Linked DNA regions of Lonchura striata. The protein of the gene in region 2 binds, or shares a complex with, the protein of the main gene of each other region. Links are inferred from orthologs where the notes say so. Each region holds a gene or a part of one and is shown on either strand. Other genes may lie near its edges.

Evidence for each region.
Region 1: PRKG1 (region 2) and CNN1 share a complex: the UniProt entries of both Homo sapiens proteins name them as parts of the cGMP kinase signaling complex. The link is inferred for Lonchura striata from reciprocal best matches to the Homo sapiens genes PRKG1 and CNN1.

Annotation. Positions count from the first base shown.
Region 1 is NC_134623.1:1,329,955-1,333,855, forward strand, and holds the start of CNN1 (calponin-1), read right to left. Parts: upstream 2,807-3,901; 5' UTR 2,761-2,806; coding exon 2,726-2,760; intron 2,344-2,725; coding exon 2,277-2,343; intron 2,188-2,276; coding exon 2,050-2,187; intron 1,466-2,049; coding exon 1,355-1,465; intron 1,274-1,354; coding exon 1,127-1,273; intron 291-1,126; coding exon 54-290; 3' UTR 1-53. UniProt on the Homo sapiens protein: Thin filament-associated protein that is implicated in the regulation and modulation of smooth muscle contraction. It is capable of binding to actin, calmodulin and tropomyosin. The interaction of calponin with actin inhibits the actomyosin Mg-ATPase activity.
Region 2 is NC_134609.1:37,896,636-37,900,536, reverse strand, and holds the start of PRKG1 (cGMP-dependent protein kinase 1), read right to left. Parts: upstream 2,947-3,901; 5' UTR 2,875-2,946; coding exon 2,564-2,874; intron 1-2,563. UniProt on the Homo sapiens protein: Serine/threonine protein kinase that acts as a key mediator of the nitric oxide (NO)/cGMP signaling pathway. GMP binding activates PRKG1, which phosphorylates serines and threonines on many cellular proteins.

The DNA.
Region 1 (3,901 bases), on a different chromosome or scaffold from region 2:
CGGTGAGGCCGGTGACGAGCGGTGTTGGGGTGCAAGCGGCCGCGGGCCGGCGGCTACTGGGAGTTGTAGAGGCCGTCGTGGCCGTCGAGGCCGTCGTGGCCCAGCAGCTCGGGGCCGCCGCAGTACTTGGGGTCGTAGACCTGGCGCGGCAGGCCGTACACCGTCATGCCCTGCTGCGAGGCGCCCTTGTTGCTGCCCATCTGCAGCCCGATGGTCAGCGTGTCGCAGTGCTCCATGCCCAGCGCCGGCTCGAAGATCTGCCGCTTCGTCCCCGGCGCCGTCATCCCCGCCTGGCCGGCGGGAACGGGCTCCGGTCAGGGACGGGATCGGGGCAGGGACGGGATCGGGGCAGGGACGGGATCGGGACGGGGACGGGCTCGGGGCAGGGATGGGATCAGGGCAGGAACTGGCTCCAGTCAGGAACGGGCTCGGGGCAGGAACCGGCTCCGGTCAGGGACCGGCTCGGGCGGTGGCCGCGGGCACCCCGAGGGGCTCACAGCCACCCCGGGGCTGTGGGGGGATGCTCGGGGGTTCCTCCGTTCTGCTCCCCGTGCTGCCCGCAGGGTGTCTGTCCCCTCCCTGTCCCCAGAGTCCCTCTGTGCCCCCCTCAGAGCCCCTTTGTCCCCTGCTCCGCTGTCCCCGGGGCTGCCTGGGCCACCGGCCGGGCCGGTGGCACCTCAGGGTCCCCGGCTCTGTCTGTCCCCGCTGCCCGCGGGCTCTCCGCTCCCTTTGTCCCCCTAACCCGGGACATCCAAGTCCCCTGGTGCCATCTCTCCCTGTGTCCCCATGCGGTGGCAGTGTCCCCCCATGGTGGCAATGTCCCTGTAGGGTGGCAGTGTCCCCATGGGGTGGCAGTGTCCCCCCATGGTGGCAATGTCCCTGTAGGATGGCACTGTCCCCGTGGAGTGGTAGTGTCCCCGTGTCCCCCGTGCTGGCAGTGTCCCCATGGAGTGGCAGTGTCCCCTGTGCTGGCAGTGTCCCCATGTCCCCATGTCCCCCCATGCTGGCAGTGTCCCTGTGGAGTGGCAGTGTCCCCATGTCCCCGTGTCCCCCATGCTGGCAGTGTCCCCATGGAGTGGCAGTGTCCCCGTGTCCCCCCATGCTGGCAGTGTCCCCGTGTCCCCACCTGGCTGGCGCCTTTGTTGGTGCCCATCTGGAGGCTGATGGTGGCCTGGTCCAGGGGCTGGTCCGTGCCCAGTTTGGGGTCGTACAGGTGCCGCCGTGTCCCGTACGCCGTCATGCCCTGCTGGCTGGCGAACTTGTTGGTGCCCATCTGGGGACAGCGACGGCCACGGTGTCACCAGCTGTCCCCAGCACGCCCCCCCCGTGTCCCCCCAGCGTCCCCGGGTGTCACCTGCAGCCCGATGATGTTCCTGCCCTCGCGCAGCTTCTCGGGGTGGAAGCGCCGCTGCTGCTTCTCGGCGTATTTCACCCCCAGCCCCACCTTGTTCCCCTTTGTCTTGGCCTGGCGGAGACCGTGGGCTTGGGGGGGGGCCTCACGGGGACCCCCGGACCCCAAATCCACTCCCCGGACCCCAAATCCCCTCCTTGGACTCCAAATTCCTTCCCCAGACCCCAAATTCCTTCCCTACACCCCAAATCCCCTCCCTGGACCCCAGATTCTTCCCCCAGACTCCAAATCCCCTCCTTGGACCCCAAATCCCCTCTCTGGACCCCAAACACCTTCCCCAGACCCCAAATCCCCTCCTTGGACCCCAAATCCCCTTTCTGGACCCCAAATCCCCTCCCCAGGCTGCAAATACCCTCCCTGGACCCCAGATTCTTCCCTCAGACTCCAAATCCCCTCCTTGGACCCCAAATCCCCTCTCTAGACCCCAAATCCCCTTCTCAGACCCCAAATACCCTCCCTGGACCCAAATCCCCTCCTTGGACCCCAAACCCCCTCCCCAGACCCCAAATCTCCTCTCCAGACCCCAAATCCCCGCTCTGGATCCCCCCCAGCGTGTGGCCGGTGTCCTCTGAGGGGACACGAGGACCCCCAGGAGCCCCCCGGACCCCCGGCCCCCCCCAGGACCCCCGGGAGCTGACCTGGCTGGCGAGGGCGATGAGCGTGGACTGGACCTGGGTGTGGTTGGTGTTCTCGAAGAGGTCGTTGGCCTCAAAGATGTCGTGGGGCTTCACCCCGTAGCGCGTGATGGCCCTCAGGAAGTTCCCGATGTTCTCCAGCTGCGGGCGGGGGGAGTCGGGGCGGGGTTCGGGGTCAGATCCTCCCCCCCAGAGCCGCCCCCAGCCCCGGTTTTGGGGGGTCCCCTCACCTTGTGCCAGTTCTGGACGGGTTCGTTCACCTTGGGCACCGAGCCCGGCTGCAGTTTGTTGATGAGCCTGGAGGGGCCGAGCACGGGTGGGGTCAGGGGGTGACCCCAGAGTGACCCCGGGGTGACCCCTGGGTGACCCCTGGGTGACCCCTGGGTGACCCCAGAGCCCGGCCAGGAGCGGGGTGTGGGGGACAGGCACGGCGGGGTTGGGGGGCTGTGCTCAGCAGGCTCGGGGTCAGCCCGGGTGAGGAATGGGTTAAAATTCACCCTCCGGACCGGGGCCGGTCCCAGCCCGCGGGGACAGAGCCGGGGACACAGCCGGGGTCCCAGCGGGGTCCCGGGGGTCGCACGGGGTCCCGGGGGTTCCAGCGGGGTCCCGGGGGTTGAACGGGGTCCCGGTGGGGGTCCCGGGGGTCGCACGGGGTCCCGGGGGTCGCACGGGGTCGTACTCGCAGAGGATGACGCCGTCCTTGAGCCCGTCCATGAAGTTGTCCCCGATCCGGCGCCCCGTGGTCCCCTCGATCCAGGCACGGAGCTCCCGCTCGTGCTGCGGGTCGTACTTCTGGGCCAGCTGCGGGGACAGGGACACGGGACATGGGGACATCGCCGGGGGGACACGGGACATGGGGACACGGGACACGGGACATGGGGACACCGCCGGGGGGACACGGGACATGGGGACACGGGGACACGGGACATGGGGACAGGGGACACGGGGACAGGGGACACGGGACACGGGGACACCGTCGGGGGGACAGGGGGACTCCGCCAGGGGGACGTGGTGGCACGGAGAATGTCGGGGACACCCTCACGGGGACGAGGGGACACGGGGGACATTGCGCCGAGGCCACGGAGGGTGCGGGGACACCGCGGGGGACACGGGGACACCGGCACGGGGACACAGACGGGGAACGTGGGGACACCCCAAGGAGGGACAATGGGGACACCCCAAGGAGGGGACACCCTAAGGAGGTGACAGTGGGGACACCCCAAGGATGTGACGTTGGAGACACCCCAAGGAGGGGACACTGGGGACACCCCAAGGCGGGGACACCCTCAGGGAAGAGGCGGCGGCCGCACTGGGGACGCGGGATCCCCGCTGGCCCCGGTTCCCCCGTTCCCGCGGGGCCGGAGGGAGCCGGGAGGGCCGGGGGAGCCCGGACCCCCCCCCGCCCCGCCCGGCCCCCCCGGGAGCCGCGGGCGACCGGGCCGGCCGAACCTTTGCCCATATATAGCCCCGGCCCGGGGCCGCCGCCGCCCGCCCGCCGCGCTCCGCCGCCTTATAAGGGCTCACGGCGGGGCCGGGGGCCGCCGGGCCCCCCCCGGGCCGCCGATCCCCCCCCGTTAACCCTTAACGGGCCGGTGCGCGGCGGGACCCCCCCCCCGCCGTGTCCATCCCCCCGCCGTGTCCGGTATCTCCCGCCCGCCGCGGGGCCCCCCCGGGCCACCCGAACCGCCCCCGTTAACCCTTAACGGGGCGGACACCGGCGGGACGCCACCCGGTGCTCGTGGGGGGCGTCCCGGGGTCCGCCCGCTCCGTTCCGGTGTCGCCCCGTGGCCTCCTCAGTCCCGGTGGGGGTTCCGGTGTCGCCGCCGCTTCAGCTCGGTGACCGTCACCTCCCGCC
Region 2 (3,901 bases):
GGCACCCTGTGCCAGGGCCTGCCCACCCTGCCAGGGAACAATTCCCAATTCCCAATATCCCATCCATCCCTGCCCTCCGGCACTGGGAAACCATTCCCTGTGTGCTGTCCCAAATCCCTCTCAAGCTCTCTTACACCCATTCAGAATTCAGCCACTCTACAACACAGAATCTTCTGTGTGGCATCACAACAGCTTTCACCACCACAGACCCTCAAGTACCTACTGTGACTCTCATGATAATTCAGTTCCCAGAGAGTTTCTGCTGCTATTGATCCTACCAATCTTCAGCAACCTCTGCCAGATCAGGAGAGCTAATCCAGCACCACCTAACTACAAAAAAAAAAAAAGAAAAAAAAAAAAATACAGAGTCTACTTTAGAATTACCTTGATTGGAAAACCCCTCTAAAATCATAAAGTCCAACCACTCTCCCAGCACTTCCAAGGCCACCACTAACCAATATCCCCAAGTGCCACATCCACCGGCCTTTTGAACACTTCTTGGTGGCTTGACAAAACCAAAGGTTGGGTGCCATTACCTCAAGAGTCACTGAGGTTCAGCACGAACAGGGGGGGAAAAAAACCCAACCCTTTTGTGCAGGTTTTGTTATTCCCAGGTTCCCACCACCTTAAACCTCACCACCACAGTAGCTTATCTTGGTCACCAGGCTCTTAGGGCTGACACAGAGCGCTCAACGTCTCCCAGAGCCACGTACACTCCTGAAACCATTAGCAAGGATCTTTTCCTGTAATCACAGACTGGTTTGGGTTGGAAGGCACCCTAGGAGCTCTCTCATTCCAGCCTGTTGCCTTGGGCAGGGACACCTTCCACTATCCTGGGCTGCTCCGAACCCCCAGAATGTCCCACCTGAGTGATTACAACCTGAAAGCACAAGTTGACATCAAAATTGTTAATAATATTAGAAGTCTTGGACTTCAGAGATAATCAATATGAAACACCGCCTCGGAGGAGTTGGGCATTACACCCCACACCAGACCGCAGAACTGCATGCATACAAGGAGCGCTGAAAATTCCAGCTGGAAAACGTTCCCCCAAGGCTTTTGCCAGGCTTCCCACCTATTTCAGTGGGGACGGCAGAGGCTGCGGACTGGCTCTGCTGAAACCTGTGGCGCTTCCCGGAGTTCTGGGAGCTCCATTCGCACTTCGAGAGCGCCGACAAGGAAACCAACCCGTGTGGGGCTTTGCGTTCCCAGGGGAAATGAACACCGTGGGATGCCTTATCCCACCTTGGGTGCTCACCACGCACCCCAGGGCTTCCGCAGACCGCTCGCCCGCCTGGCCTCCGCCACCGCAGCCCCCCGTGTGCTGCCAGCTCACTTTTTGGGGTGTTTTACTCGTTTTGGGGGTGCAGGGGAGGCGTTGCGGGCGCCACCGCCGTTCGTCCCCTGACATCCTTCAGAACGGCGCGGCCGGACGCCTTAAAAGGGCAAAATATCTGTGGCGGTGGGAATGGGGGGCGGGCACGGCAAAGTGGGAATGGGATGTGGCGGGAGCGAGCGGCAGGAGGGGCACACGAGGCCCGGCGCGGCGGGGTCCGGCCATGGCGGCCGTCCTGAGGGCGGGCAGTTGCCTGGAGACGGCGGGGCCCGCCATGGCGGCGGGAAGGGCTGAGGCTGCGCGGGGAGCGGGCCAGCCCCGGCACGGTCCCCGCCACCGTGCCCCGCCACCGCCCGCCCCGTCCCACACGCCCCGCACTACCGGCTCCGCTCCCCGTTACCATCCCGCGAGGAAGACGCCGGCCGCGGAGGGGAGGAAGGGTTTGGCAGCCCCACCGACGGGGAGGCTGCGCCCCGGCCCCGCACATGGAGCCCGGCGCGGCGAGCATCCGCTCATCACCTTTTCCTTCCTCCTTTTTCATCCCTTGAGGAGCGCTGAACCAAAGGCACGGAGACGTACCGGCCAGGGAAAGGCACGGAGCGAGGGAGGGCTCCGCTTCCCCATTAAGGCGCTCTAATTTCCCTAATCTGCGGCAGGTGTGAAACCGGGGCAGCGCATCCCCCGGCGCGCTGGCACCTGAGGATCCCCGCAACTTTCCCTGCCCCCCGCACACCCGGACACTGCAATAAGCTCCTGCTTCTGCCAGACTCCCCTCCCCAAAACACCAGCCCCCTCCCGGAGAGCCGGGCACCGCATCCCGCCGGCCTCCAAGTTTCCCAGCTGGGAATGTCTCCCTGCGGGGTCCCGCAGCGAGCCCCGGCTTTCTCCCGCTCCCTCCCGCAGCGACGAAGCCGCCGTGCCCACGACGCGATCCGGTTCAACCCGCCGGCAGCACCGTCCCCCGCAGGGATGGGGGCCGGGTCCCCCCGCAGCCGGGACGGGCTGTCGGAGCCGGGCGCCCCGCTCCGCTGGCACCTCGGCGCTCACTCCTGCCGCTCTTCCCCCCTCGCAAACCCGGCGCTCGCAACTTTCCCACCCCGCGGGGCCACCCGGGGAGGATGCGGGAATGCCGCGCTCCGCTCCCTGCCCGGCGGGCGGCGGCGAGGCCGGGGATGGAGCGGGATGAGGGAGAGGGGAGGCTGAGCGGCGGGGTGACCCCCTGCTTACTGCGGGCTCTTGGGGTAGAAGGGGAGGGTGACGTGGCTGAGATCTTGGATGTCGAAGGCGGTGGGCTCGGCCGAGATCGCCTGGCGCTTGGTCCGCTGCTCGCCCTGCAAGGTGCCGGCGCTTTGCTGCTGCGCCTGCTGCGTGGCGGGCCGGATCACCGAGCGGTACTTGTCCAGCTCGTTCTGCAGCTTCTGGATCAGTTCGTCCTTCTGGTCCAACTCCAGCTCCAGCTCGTCGATGAGCGCATCCCGCTGCCGCAGCTCCTCGATCTTCTCCTGCAGCGCGTACTGTAAATCCCGCAAAGTGCCCATGGTCCTGCCGCCGCGCTCGCCCCTCGCCGCTCCCGGCAACTTTCCCCCCCGGGGCCGCCTCCCTGCGCTCGGGCCACCCCGGCCCCCGCCGCCCCCCTGGGCTCGGCCCGGCCCCGCGGGGCCGCCGCCGCAGCCGGACCCCCGGCACGGCGCTCCGGAGCCGGGGTGTTGTCAGGGGCGATGTGGATCCGCCTGCGTCAGGCCGGGCTGGCGAGGGAGCCGAGATGCACACACACACACACACATACACACACACACCCGCGGCGGCGAGCGGGGAGGGAGGCAGGGGCGGCGGGAGGATGCACATGCTCGCCCCGCTCCCTCCCGCCGGCCCCGCCGCGCCCCGCGCCGCCCACGCCCCGCGGGCTGCCGAGGAAGGAGGGGGCCGGCCGGGAGCAGCTCCCGGTGCCTGCCCTCCCGGCCTTTTGCTGGAAGCCAGCACACAGGTCCGAGCCGCGGACCTCCCGTCCTGCTCCCTCTGCTCCGCTCAAGGTGCCAGTTCTCCTCAAAGAACTTATCCCCCCTTTACTTTGCTTTTAAAGAGACGGGTTTTGTTGTCTTCCCCGAGTGGAAGCACAAGCCAGCGTCTGGCATGGCTCCTCCTCAAGCCTCAGCAAGCTCCGGGTTCCAAAAACCCAGATTTTCATGGGAATATCGGTCAAGTCTGTCTGCACTGGAAAAGCCTGGAGGCAGGGCATCTGGCTTTCAGAGCACTGAAAAAAAAGCCCTTAACTTAAAATCTGGGAGATTTTCTGCCTGGCCCAAATACCCATGTGAAAGCCCAAGTTTCTGCTGTACCAAACTGATCAGACTTCCCCGGAGTGCAGGGTTTTCCTTCACGCACACAGGTTTTCTGTGTGGCCCTACCTCTGCCACACAGCTCACGGGGCTGCAGCACAGAAATAACACAATCAAATAAATGAGCCACAGTGGCCAAGTCCTCGGTGCCAAATGATTCTGGGTTCTTCCATTTGCCAGGCGCTGAAGGGCCAGCAATGCTCACCCCGAGAGCACAGCTCCAGCCTTG